3 linked regions of the Macaca fascicularis genome follow. The protein of the gene in region 3 binds, or shares a complex with, the protein of the main gene of each other region. Links are inferred from orthologs where the notes say so. Each region holds a gene or a part of one and is shown on either strand. Other genes may lie near its edges.

Region 1 (4,075 bases), on a different chromosome or scaffold from region 3:
TGATCACTGATCACTGACTGGGATCAATTACCTCTCTGGTGGTCCCTGAAGGGAAATGCAGAATTGCTGAACTCTGGAAGGGAAGGAGGGGTTTGGTGAGCCATCATTACAGACACTGTGCTAGTGGCAGTGCACTGCACACGCTATCTTTTTTTTTTTTTTGAGACAGAGTCTTGCTCTTATTGCCCAGGCTGGAGTGCAATGGCATAGTCTTAGCTCACTGCAATCTCTGTCTCCCAGGTTCAAGCGATTCTCCCGCCTCAGCCTCCTGAGTAGCTGGGATTACAGGCACCTGCCACCATGCCTGGCTAATTATTTTGTATTTTTAGTAGAGACGGGGTTTTGCCATGTTGGCCAGGCTGGTCTCGAACTCCTGACCTCAAGTGATCTGCCTGCCTTGGCCTCCCAAAGTACTGGGATTACAGGCGTGAGCTACCATGCCCAGCCTCTTTTTGCTTCTTACCAGCACTGTCTGAGCTAAGCATCAGCACCTGCAAACTCCACAGAGGTGAAAAGGTTCACTCAGGGGCCTGTAACTAGTAACCCAGAGCTTTCTGAATCAGAGCCCAGGATCACAGTATTCCAGACTTCAGGGGTTTTAGTGCTTTCTGTCACTGAGGGACCTGAGAACAAGTGTTATCCAGCAAGAAATTTTCATAACTGCATTTTATTTCCCTGTGAGCCAGGCCTGGCATGGTTGATCTCTGTCTCTAGAAACTGGAGTCAGATATTCAAGACATTAAAAGGAGATGGCTGGTGGGGCGTCATGGCTCCTAGGACTTTGGGAGGTTGAGGTGGGAGGATTGTCTGAGCCCAGGAGTTTGAGACCAGCCTGGGCAACATGGTGAGACCTCATCTCTATTAAAAAAAAAAAAAAAAAGAAAGAGAGAGAGAGATGGCTGCCCTTTCTAGATCAGGAGGTCCAGCCTCAGGAAACCTTGGAGGGCTGCTTGATCTTTCTTTTCTAATTCCTGAAAAGTTAGAAGACCTTTAACATCTGAGAGCCCTATTACTCTAAGCTTAAGCTCTTGTTTGGGAAGCCACTGGGTGGACAGTGAAGAGTGCCCGCCTACCTGGGGAAACCTGAGTTAGGTGTGGCTGGAGCGACTCGAGATGCGAGGTGGGCGGGGGCAGGCTGAAAGCTGGAGCAAGCAGGAAGTGAGCTGACGGCCACCCTGGGAGGAAGCCGACTAGGCTAATTCACCTGCTGATCGGCCCGGGCTGCTCTGAGACATGGTGAGCGAACTGGAAACTAGGAAAGGGCTGATTTAAAGAGGAGCCAGAAGGGGCTCGGGACTGGGGGTTGGCTGTGGGGGGGGAGGAGAGTTGGCGGCAAAGTTAGAGGGCTGGGCCAGTGCTGCCTGTGGCCTCTCCTCTTTGACAACTTGGCTGCAAATAGCTCTGAACCGTCCTAGCAGGTGTTTCTATTCCTTCTTCCTCCCTCCCCTGACCTCTGTGCTGGTGGGGAGCTGGGCTTCCGTGCCAGTGCCAATGGGGGCTCCGAATTCCAGGCAAAGTGTTGTTGTGCCTTCCTCCTCCAGGGAGCCCGAGGCGGGTGTTGTGACACCACCAGGCAGTGCTTGGGCAGTTTCCAGTTCAGATTCCAGCCCAGCGGCAGGAGCTCTCCTCTCTGGCCTTTCACTTTATCCCTACACAGAAACACAAAGGATTTGTGTGTCCACTGAGTCCTTTGGGTGTCCTTTCTCCATTAACATGAAGAAGAGAACTAAGGGTTTATAAGATAACCAGAAGTTGGTTCTCTGTGATAAGCTAGTTCTGACCCATGCCACTGGCCTGTTTTTGGAGGTCAAGGAGGGAGGAGCTTAATAATGTTTTTCTCTCCTTGTTCAAAAACCTTGTCATGAAGTCTCTGAGATGAGACATCAGCCAGGGAGGACTAGTCCTCCATTTCCCCCAACACCCAGGCGGGTATTTTTATTTAATGTCTGCATAAGCAGGTGGTTGCTTGGTGCCTGTGCGTGGTGCCCAGTGGTAGGGAAAGCAGAAGTGTGTGGCTCAACGGCTGTGGGCGCCTTCTGGGGTACTTGGTTGCCTGTTGTTCTGGGTCACAGCAGCAATGGCATTGCGGCCAGGGCCATGCTCCAGCAGCTATTTAGAGGGGCAGATGGGTCAGGCTGGGTGAGGGTGTTTTGCTGGCCAGCACAGACACTTTCAATGAGGATCCCGAGAAATCAGGAAAGAGGGGTGGCTCCGGGAATTGTAAATAGTGGTGGGCTCTGCCCTGGAAAGGGAACATTGTGAGATGCCGGCTCTGCTGTATTCTATGGCCTTCTCTAGGGAGCAAGGAAGCAGTGGGGAGGGATTTAGTGATGCGCTGCTTTTCCTTGTCAGGGGTCCTAACAATCCTGAAAGAAGTTTGATCTAGTCTCTTTAGCATCACGTCTTACCTTCTGGGGCTTACAAATGCATTTATTTTTGATTACACAAGTAATACATGAAAACATTCTCTTTGTAAACATTTCAAGCATTTTACAAAAAGCTGAAGTCTGCCTGAGGCCTTACCCTCCCCAGGCCTCTGAGGCCAAGTCTCCAGTTCCCCCACCACTTGGTCTAATTAACCCCGTGTTGCTGTGCAGGAGGAAGCCAGTGAAGGTGGAGGAAATGATCGCGTGCGGAACCTGCAGAGTGAGGTGGAGGGAGTTAAGAATATTATGACCCAGAATGTGGAGCGGATCCTGGCCCGAGGGGAAAACTTGGAACATCTCCGCAACAAGACAGAGGATCTGGAAGCCACAGTGAGACAGGGAGCCCACTGGAGGCTGGAGGAAAAGAGGAAGGGAGGGAATTTCTTTTTGGTGGGGCAAAATGAACAGGAGGGTCAGAAGTGTAACATTTCTGTTGCCTTTCACCTGGTTTGGGAGCTGATGTGAGCTGAGTCTCCACTTCTGAATCTGCTCTGCTCCACAGATTGTTATGGATCCCAGGGAATGGATCCCATGACTGGGGCTTGAGGTGGCAGCTCACCCATAGAGGCATATTCTGAGACCGATAGCTCAGTCAGCCCATGCATTCTCAGGCTTCTCTCCCGGGAAACTTGTTTTCCCTTTGAAGCCTGCCCATGACAATCATTTGGATCTGACCTTCCCAGGGCAGAAGTATTGGCTTTGAGGAAACCCCCCCACCGTGGCCTCTAGCCTTCTCTAGGAGCTATTAGACAAGGGGTGGGAAATTGCTGGTATCTTGCTGAGTTGGCTTTAAAAAGAAGGAGGAAAGAGCAGAGAAATGCTTTGATCCCAGGGTCCCCTGCTAGATGAAGGCTAAAATAATATCTCCCACACATCTTGCTAGACCTCATTCTTCTCTCTCTCCAGCCAGGGGCTGCGGCCAGCTGTTTCAGGGAGGAAGTAACTCCAAAGTTGAGCAAAGTCTGGAGCCTCAGGTTTTGTGTCCAGCTGGGAAGCTGGCTCTGGCTTTCTTAGTCCTGTGTGAACTCTTGGCTCTTGGGTATTGCTCCCTTGTCTCCCTGGGGCTCATTGCCTGTTTCTGTAGCTTAATTGTAGCTTAATTTGGGGAGCACGGCCCCAGGATTTTTTTTTTTTTTTTTTTAATAGAGCCTCACTCTGTTGCCCAGGCTAGAGTGGTGCAATCTCGGCTCACTTCAACCTTCGCCTCCTGGGTTCAAATGATTCTCTTGCCTCAGCCTCCTGAGTAGCTGGGATTACAGTGTGCACCACCACACCTGGCTAATTTTTGTATTTTCAGTAGAGACGAAGTTTTGCCATGTTGGCTAGGCTGGTCTCGAACTCCTGACCTCAGGTGATCCACCCACCTTGGCCTCTCAAAGTGCTGGGATTACAGACTTGAGTCACCATGCCTGGACAAGCACTAGGAAATTTAGTGTCTATAACTCGAATTGCTGGGCATGGGGAAGAGTGCATGGAGGAGGAGGAGTTCCCTTACTTCCAACCCTCTGTACTGTCCTGGTCCCTCCTCCAGCCTCAGCAGTCCCGATGGGGCAAGGAGTCCTGTAGCTGGGAGATGTGCCCTCCTGGAGCCTGCATCCCTCAGTCCCAGGATCTGCCCTCCCAAGGGCAGATTGGGAGGGCAGATTGTG
Region 2 (3,645 bases), on a different chromosome or scaffold from region 3:
TAGAGACAGGGTTTCACCATGTTGGTCAGGCTGGTCTTGAACTCCTGACCTCAGGTGATCCACCTGCCTTGGCCTCCCACAGTGCTGGGATTACAGGCGTGATCCACTGCGCCTGTCCCCCTGCACACCCTTCTGTTTTGAAACATCATGCTGGAGGCTGTGTGGCCAAAATGCCAATTGCAACACGAGCGCTAATTACATCCCAGGCACTTTCTGGCTCAGGTAACCTTCCCACTGTTCTCAGAGGCAGCCCGTTTCACAAGGAGGAAAACAGGGCTCTGAGTGGCCAGGTGGGAAGGGAAGGATGGAGTAAGCGGTCATGTCCAGGCTCCACTTTATCGCCTCTCAGGGACTCCTGGGTCCCTGGTGCTGTTCATGAAAGTGAGAGGTGGGGAGGGCTCGGTTGGGCTGGAAGTAGGAAATGGTGAGAAATGGAGAGATTCCAGAGACAGTGAGGTGGCAAGATGGACCCAGCTTAGTGTGGGATGCGATGTGTGGGGAGGGAGCTGAAGCTGGAGGGTCCTCACGTAGGGGCTATGCTTGGCGTGAGCTGCCTGAAGGAACAGTGGCTTACAGAAGCTGGTGTGGCGCTCAGTCTTACCTAGGTTGCTGTCGATCTTCTGGTGATAGGCTCGAAGGTGTGGGTTCTTTGGGTAAGCATCGGTACTCACAGCAGAACCAGCCCCTCTGGGGACAGGGTCTAAGTTTAGAAGGAGACACCAGGAGAGTGGTTAATTGACATTGTTCAAATGCTGCTTCACACACCCAAAACAATTTCATCTGGAAAATGGGTGGAAGGAATGAAAGGTTGGTTCTGAGGCTATCCAGAGGGATGAGGGAGGAGCACAGTGCAGGCTCATGGGCCAGGAGAGATGCTTCCACAGGGTAGGGGATGGTTCCCACTTTCCCTCAGTCCTTGGGAGATGAAAGACCCTCAAACTAAGGGTCACCTACTCAGACCCTGGTGCACAAGCTCAGGAAAGACACGAGTCACACAAGTGACAATACACAGTGGAACTGCAATAATGCAAAACTACACAGTCTGTGGACAAAGTCTAAAAATACACATTGTTACGTTACATAAATGGAATTATGGGTAATTTTGTTTCTTTCCGAAATTTATCTCTACGCTATATTTTCACTTGAAACAAATAAGCCAAAAAAAAAAAAAAAAAAAAAAGAAATGTTAAATAATGCACATTTGCCGTAAGAAATCTTCCTTGAACCCTAGTTTCTTCTTTTTTAAAGTTATCTTTCTTGGCTTGAATGAACTTCAGTTTCTAAATGCACACAGAAAAGCCCTGTCATCCCAGTTTATCTCCTTTAGGGAAACATCACTTTCTAGACTTAGCATATTTCCTCCAGCACCAACCAACTGAAACCATACTGCAAACTGTGCCGATTTTTTTTTTCAGTCTTTTTTTTTTTTTTTTTTTTTTTGAGACGGAGTCTCGCTCTGTAGCCCAGGCTGGAGTGCAGTGGCCGGATCTCAGCTCACTGCAAGCTCCGCCTCCCGGGTTCACGCCATTCTCCGGCCTCAGCCTCCCGAGTAGCTGGGACTACAGGCGCTGCCACCTCGCCCGGCTATTTTTTGTATTTCTTAGTAGAGACGGGGTTTCACCGTGTTAGCCAGGATGGTCTCAATCTCCTGACCTCGTGATCCGCCCATCTCGGCCTCCCAAAGTGCTAGGATTACAGGCTTGAGCCACCGCGCCCGGCCATCAGTCTTTTAATATATACGACACAAATGGAAACTCCTTAATTCCTTAAAATTGTGTCTTGGGTGCAGTGTCTTGTGCCACTTCTCCAGGGTGTGATGAGGCCGATTTTCCCCACCCTTGCCTTTCAATTTACACTCACTTCCTCCACTTGCCTTTCCAGACTGAACTGTGCTGATGGTGTCAGTCTCTCCTGCTTCCCGCTCTTCCTCCATCTGATCTCCCCAGCTGCATCGACCACAACCATGGTGGGTTCCAGAGCTTCCATGGTGTATCGTTTTCTTGAAGGCAGCACAGTTTTAAGCCTTTGGTTTCTAGCACCAATTTCAATGTACCCTGGCTGTTGGGGGGCCTATGACGGAGGCCCCAGAAGCCCTAAATTCCTTTCCAGATAAGGGATATTTCTGGGCCTATCACTTGATAGAAGTGGAATGATTTGACCAACACTCACTGTCTTGCACACCTTGTCCATGTGGCTGCTGCTCCTCCTGCTTGGGCTGGAGGCTGTATTAGCCCCTCATTGATGCTGTGACAAATGACCACAAACTTGTCTTACGGTTCTGGAGGTCAGAAGTCCAACGTGGGTCTCACTGGGCTGAGTCGGGGTGTCCTCAGGGTTGCACTCCTTCTGGAGCTCTTGGGAAGAATCTAATTCCTCACCTTTTGCAGTTTTTAGAGTTCACTTGTGTGCCTTGGCAGGTGAGTCCCTTTCTCCATCTTCAAGGCCAGCAACATCTTCAGATCTCTGACTCTGCCACTCTCTCTTCTGCTTCTCTTTCCACTTAAAAGGGACCTTTGTGATGACACTGGACCCAACTGGACAACCCAAGATAATCTCCCCATCTTGCTGATTAGCAATTGTAACTCCATCTGCAACTGTAATTCCGCCTTTGCCATATAACCTAACAGACTCACGGGGTCTGGGGATTAGGACGTGGACAGCTATTTACCAAGGGGTTTTTCTGTAGTTGCCTTTTTACTGCTGGAACAACTGAGAGTGACATAGGCAGGAACCGATGATGGGCAGGCTTATTGTCTTTTTTGAGACAGAGTTTCACTCTTGTTGCCCAGGCTATAGTGCAGTGGCATGATCTCAGCTCACTGCAACCTCTGTCTCCCAGGTGCAAGTCATTCTCCTGTCTCAGCCTCCCAGGTAGCTTGGATTAGAGGCATATGCTACCACACTTGGCTAATTTTTTTGTGTTTAGCAGAGACGGGGTTTCACCATGTTAGTCAGGCTGGTCGCAAACTCCTGACCTCAGGTGATTCACCTGGCTTGGCCTCCCAAAGTGCTGGGATTACAGGCGTGTGTTATTGCACCAGGCTAGGCAGGCTCATTTTCAATGGAACGCAGGCCTTCACTTCCTTATTCTCCTCTCCATGGAGGCAGGGAGGAGGGAGGAGCCCTACCATAAGGCACACCCCTAGTTCCCCAAGAGCATGCCGGGTCCCTAAGGCCCTTTGGCTAGCATGGGTGATGCTGGCAGCTGGGGCCCCTGCCCACTTCCCCCGAGAGATTGCTACTGCCCCCTAAGGACCAATGCCAAACCCAGAGGTCTCCCTGCTAGAATTCGGGCTGTGCACACAGGTATCCACTTACCTGTATCATCCAGCTTTCTAAGGTTTGGGTGGCTGGCCTGGTACTTTGCTTCCTGTTCTTTACTTGTACTTATGGCTTCTTTCAATCTTTGGATAAAAGTTTACAAAAAAGGACAGTATTAAAAAAGGAAAAATCCCTATGACAATGTTATCAGTATTTTCACATAATGCCTGTATGCCAAAAATCAAATGCTTCTTCTGTACCAAACTCCTTCTGACCAAAGTAGGGATTTCAACAGCTTCTCCTAGGAGCACAGCTGGCCAAGCAATAAGCCTACAAAGACCCCTGCCTCAGAAGTGTGGCAGCTAAGCCAGGTGTGGTGACTCA
Region 3 (3,645 bases):
AGTTCAAATAATTAGTGATCTCAGGATTGGTTTTTTTCTTGTGGTTGCTTCAGTTATTCCAAATGATTTTTATGAAAAAATATTTAAATTGTATTAAAGTTTTGCTTTAATTTTAAAAAGTCATAGAAATACAATATCCAACCGTTTTTAAAGGAAGGAACATTAAAAAGTATTTCCCTGAGGCTTTACGATTACACTTGGGGTATAGAAATGGCAATAATCCTGGCAGGCTCCTCCCTCTTGCTGGAATTATTTTGGGGCTGAAGGAAGGGAGACACATTGACTATTTTTCTTCTACCTATCAACTCATCAACATATGACGGCTGATGATAGAGTTTTAAGCCTGTGATTTATCTGCTAGCATAGACTGTTTCAGGCAAGAGTGGAAAGTGTTGGGGGTGTCCTAAATAGAAACAATGATAGGGTGTCAGAAATCTAGACAAGTTGTATATTATTAGTGCTGGAACTTTTTCTTCTATGGGTCAGAAAAAGAAAGCTGACTTAAATAAGTTTTGCTATTGAGGAAAACAAAAATTGAATGAATGAATGCTAAAAGATACCTAATGTTTTAGTGTCCTAGAATTGTCAAGATTCAAAAGAAAAAGTTAAATATATTTTTTTGATAGAAAGATGAGAGTTAACACTTCCTTGGGGAAGGATGAATTTTTCTATTTTTCCCCCTCACACTTTGCAAACACATTTTATCCCCACTTCAACTCTATGAAGGTGTAAGTATCATCATTCTCACATGATAAATGAGAATACTGACACCTAGAGAGCTTGAGTAATTTGTCTAAGAGCACATAGTGGCATTTGCTGAGATATGAACACAGATTACCTGACTAAAGGTGATGCCCTTGATCTGAGCACATATAATAGTGGTTCTTAAAGTGTGAGAATTGTGGACTGGCAGCATCAGCATCACCTGGGAGCTTACTATCTCAGGCTTCATCTCAGGCCTACTGGATCAGAAACACCAGGGATGGGGCCCAGCAATTTGTGTTTTAAGAAGCCTCCAGGTGGAAGACTGAGAACCATTGTTAAACTTGTCTCTAACAGAGACATTCAAAGGAAAACTGATAAGGGACTTTCTTAGGGATTGTGTTAGAGATGTCAGGATAGTGGTGGAGAATATTGGAATGAAGGGATACCACAATGGCGAAGACAGACATATTTTGTGTATGAGAAGGGAAGGAATATCAATAATGCTAAGAGGAAACAAACATGGGAAAAAATAGCTGTGTGGTTTGGGCTTCATGTTTTCAAATGAAATAATGGTTGGAATTAGAAAAGTGTTATTTGTATCTGCCTCAATATAAATGAATAGGCCAATTATATAAGGGCAATCAAACTCTTCAGGATTAAAGTTAATTATTTCACCCTCATTGTAGGTGGCATCTATCTAGGATCAAAGAGAGATTCTCTTTTTTCTGCACATTAAAAAAAAACAAAACCAAAATAGTCTGTAAACTGCGATAGTTGATTATATGTTGGCTTATACATTTGTTGTTTATACATTTGTGATTGTTGGTTTATACATTTACTAAATCTCATACTATACCATTAAAAGCAGTACTTGTTATATGTAAATTCTATCTAAGTAAAGTTGAATTAAAAATGGGAATGTGTTCCTACAGCAAGTAATGAGTTCGTGGCACTGGAGGTTTCTGAGCAGTGGTTCAGTAACCACTTGTCAGGAATGTTTTAGTAGGGCTTCGCACATCAGAGAGGAGACTGACCTGATGACCTCAACATTCCTTCTACCCAGAGATTCCATGAGTCATAGTTGCTGTTGTGCCAGCACAGGTGTTGCCATTTTATGTAGAATGCTTTATTAATATATTTGATCTGAAACATTTTAAACTGTCATGATTTTACAATGTGTTAAGATATACAGGTATAAAGCGCAGAACAGTGAATTCATTCACTGTTCCCTACTGCATATTACAAATGGAAAGATCTCATAGTAGATCAAACCATATTGTAGTCTTGTTCCGGAAACATCACAATTTGTATTTATTGGACCAAGGGCATTTTACTACTAAGGTAAATGTGCCTGATTTAAACTGAATCCTCAAAGAAGATAAGTTAGGGAGGTGTTTTGGGGTTTGATTTTTTTTTTTCCATCAAACCCAACATGACATGTAAATGATTATTTGGATTTTTTTTTTTTTTTCTGGAAAGTAGATTCATTTGGAGAATAATATGTTTGTATGTTTGAGTGAATTTTAGTGTGAGATGGTTTTTGCTGTAAGGTTGCCACCCTTTTATTACCTAATAATTAAGACCCCCCCCTTTTTTTATGAAAGTTAATTGGTCCTTTTGACATTGCTTATCAGATGCTATTAATGAACCACTATTAAGACGGCAAGGCTGCAGTACCCGGGGCCCTGATTACAGGAATTAAAATAGTGTGTGTTGACTCCCTGCTGCTCCCCAGCAGGACCGCTCACTCATAATTCCTTTGCATCTAGTCTCAGCAGGAGAAGATTGACAGCATTGCAGACCATGTCAACAGTGCCGCTGTGAATGTTGAAGAGGGAACCAAAAACTTGGGGAAGGTAAGATTCTGCTCCTGCTGACAAATCAATGGTACTCTGGCTCCCAGGAATCTCTAGTATTAACCCAATTGATCTGCTCTCTTCAATGTTGAGGGAACCAGCAATTAAGGAAATAAGGAAGAAATGACACATAGGTAGTGCAAGAAATCAATGTTGTAATATTCTACTCTAAGATTCATTCTATCAGGAGAGGAATTTCTTCAAAGAGAGAATAAACTGTAGCCCTGCTATAAGGTATTTGGTGTTACCAGGAAATATTTGCAGAGGGTGAAAGTGTAAGTATGTGACAGCACACGTGGAGTGGGACCATCTATTTTCCATAGGATGTTGCTTTTAACCCCAGGCACACAGCACAGAATAATCTCTGTGCAACATAAAAGCTTTGGGGGAAATCTGTGGCTGCCGAAACAGTTTAAATAAGCCAGCTAGATAGTTAGTGAATTGATTGTTTTGCAAGTAAAATCAATTTGTAGCAGTCCACTCTTTGTAGCTCAGCTCTCTAAGTTCTGAGATCTGGAGCAATTGCTGTACCTGTGGAATACTTTCTTTTCCCCCCTACAAGTACAGTCTCGAAGGTTAATTATGTACCAAGAGTTAAAGAGGCATTGCCAGGAGTAATGATAGGAAAACGCACATCACCACAGGCAGATATTCTCAACTCAATTTCTAAATTGAATTTTTTTTTTTTTTTTTTTTTTATACAGGCTGCAAAATACAAGCTGGCAGCTCTGCCTGTGGCAGGTGCACTGATCGGAGGAATGGTAGGGGGTCCTATTGGCCTCCTTGCAGGCTTCAAAGTGGCAGGAATTGCAGCTGCACTTGGTGGTGGGGTGTTGGGCTTCACAGGTGGAAAACTGATACAAAGAAAGAAACAGAAAATGATGGAGAAGCTCACTTCCAGCTGTCCAGATCTTCCCAGCCAAACTGACAAGAAATGCAGTTAAAAACCAAACTTCAGGATTATTGGTGCCAACATGTGTATCCTAATGAGGATCTTTGCTGCTGTTGGACCCTCCATCACCTTTTGGAACACAAGTATATCAAGATAGTGGCTACTGATGTTCAAGTGGGATTGAAGTGTGAT

Evidence for each region.
Region 1: the proteins of STX17 (region 3) and VAMP8 are in contact, whole or in part, in a crystal structure (PDB 7BV6), measured with the Homo sapiens proteins. The link is inferred for Macaca fascicularis from reciprocal best matches to the Homo sapiens genes STX17 and VAMP8. Residues at the interface, in NP_060389.2 of Homo sapiens: Ser171, Trp172, Thr174, Leu175, Asp178, Leu179, Glu181, Leu182, Leu185, Val186, Phe189, Leu192, Val193, Gln196, Glu198, Lys199, Ile200, Ser202, Ile203, His206, Val207, Ser209, Ala210, Asn213, Val214, Glu216, Gly217, Thr218, Asn220, Leu221; in NP_003752.2 of Homo sapiens: Gly9, Val13, Leu16, Gln17, Val20, Glu21, Val23, Lys24, Met27, Thr28, Asn30, Val31, Ile34, Leu35, Arg37, Gly38, Leu41, Glu42, Leu44, Arg45, Thr48, Glu49, Leu51, Glu52, Ser55, Glu56, Phe58, Lys59, Ser62, Gln63.
Region 2: the proteins of STX17 (region 3) and SNAP29 are in contact, whole or in part, in a crystal structure (PDB 4WY4), measured with the Homo sapiens proteins. The link is inferred for Macaca fascicularis from reciprocal best matches to the Homo sapiens genes STX17 and SNAP29. Residues at the interface, in NP_060389.2 of Homo sapiens: Glu170, Trp172, Glu173, Leu175, Glu176, Leu179, Ile180, Ser183, Val186, Thr187, Phe189, Ser190, Val193, Asn194, Gln196, Gln197, Ile200, Ile203, Ala204, Val207, Asn208, Ala210, Ala211, Val214, Glu215, Thr218, Leu221, Gly222, Ala224, Ala225; in NP_004773.1 of Homo sapiens: Arg52, Thr56, Ser59, Thr60, Arg62, Ser63, Leu66, Glu69, Ser70, Val73, Gly74, Ser77, Glu80, Leu81, Gln84, Val87, Leu88, Thr91, Met94, Val95, Lys97, Met98, Asp101, Leu102, Ile104, Ser105, His108, Ile109, Ser111, Ile112.

The regions. Positions count from the first base shown.
Region 1 is NC_088387.1:36,008,833-36,012,907, reverse strand, and holds the start of VAMP8 (vesicle-associated membrane protein 8), read left to right. Parts: upstream 1-1,137; 5' UTR 1,138-1,233; coding exon 1,234-1,236; intron 1,237-2,597; coding exon 2,598-2,756; intron 2,757-4,075. UniProt on the Homo sapiens protein: SNAREs, soluble N-ethylmaleimide-sensitive factor-attachment protein receptors, are essential proteins for fusion of cellular membranes.
Region 2 is NC_088384.1:31,848,064-31,851,708, reverse strand, and holds part of SNAP29 (synaptosomal-associated protein 29), read right to left. Parts: intron 3,405-3,645; coding exon 3,319-3,404; intron 701-3,318; coding exon 602-700; intron 1-601. UniProt on the Homo sapiens protein: SNAREs, soluble N-ethylmaleimide-sensitive factor-attachment protein receptors, are essential proteins for fusion of cellular membranes.
Region 3 is NC_088389.1:58,150,307-58,153,951, reverse strand, and holds part of STX17 (syntaxin-17), read left to right. Parts: intron 1-2,474; coding exon 2,475-2,561; intron 2,562-3,265; coding exon 3,266-3,505; 3' UTR 3,506-3,645. UniProt on the Homo sapiens protein: SNAREs, soluble N-ethylmaleimide-sensitive factor-attachment protein receptors, are essential proteins for fusion of cellular membranes.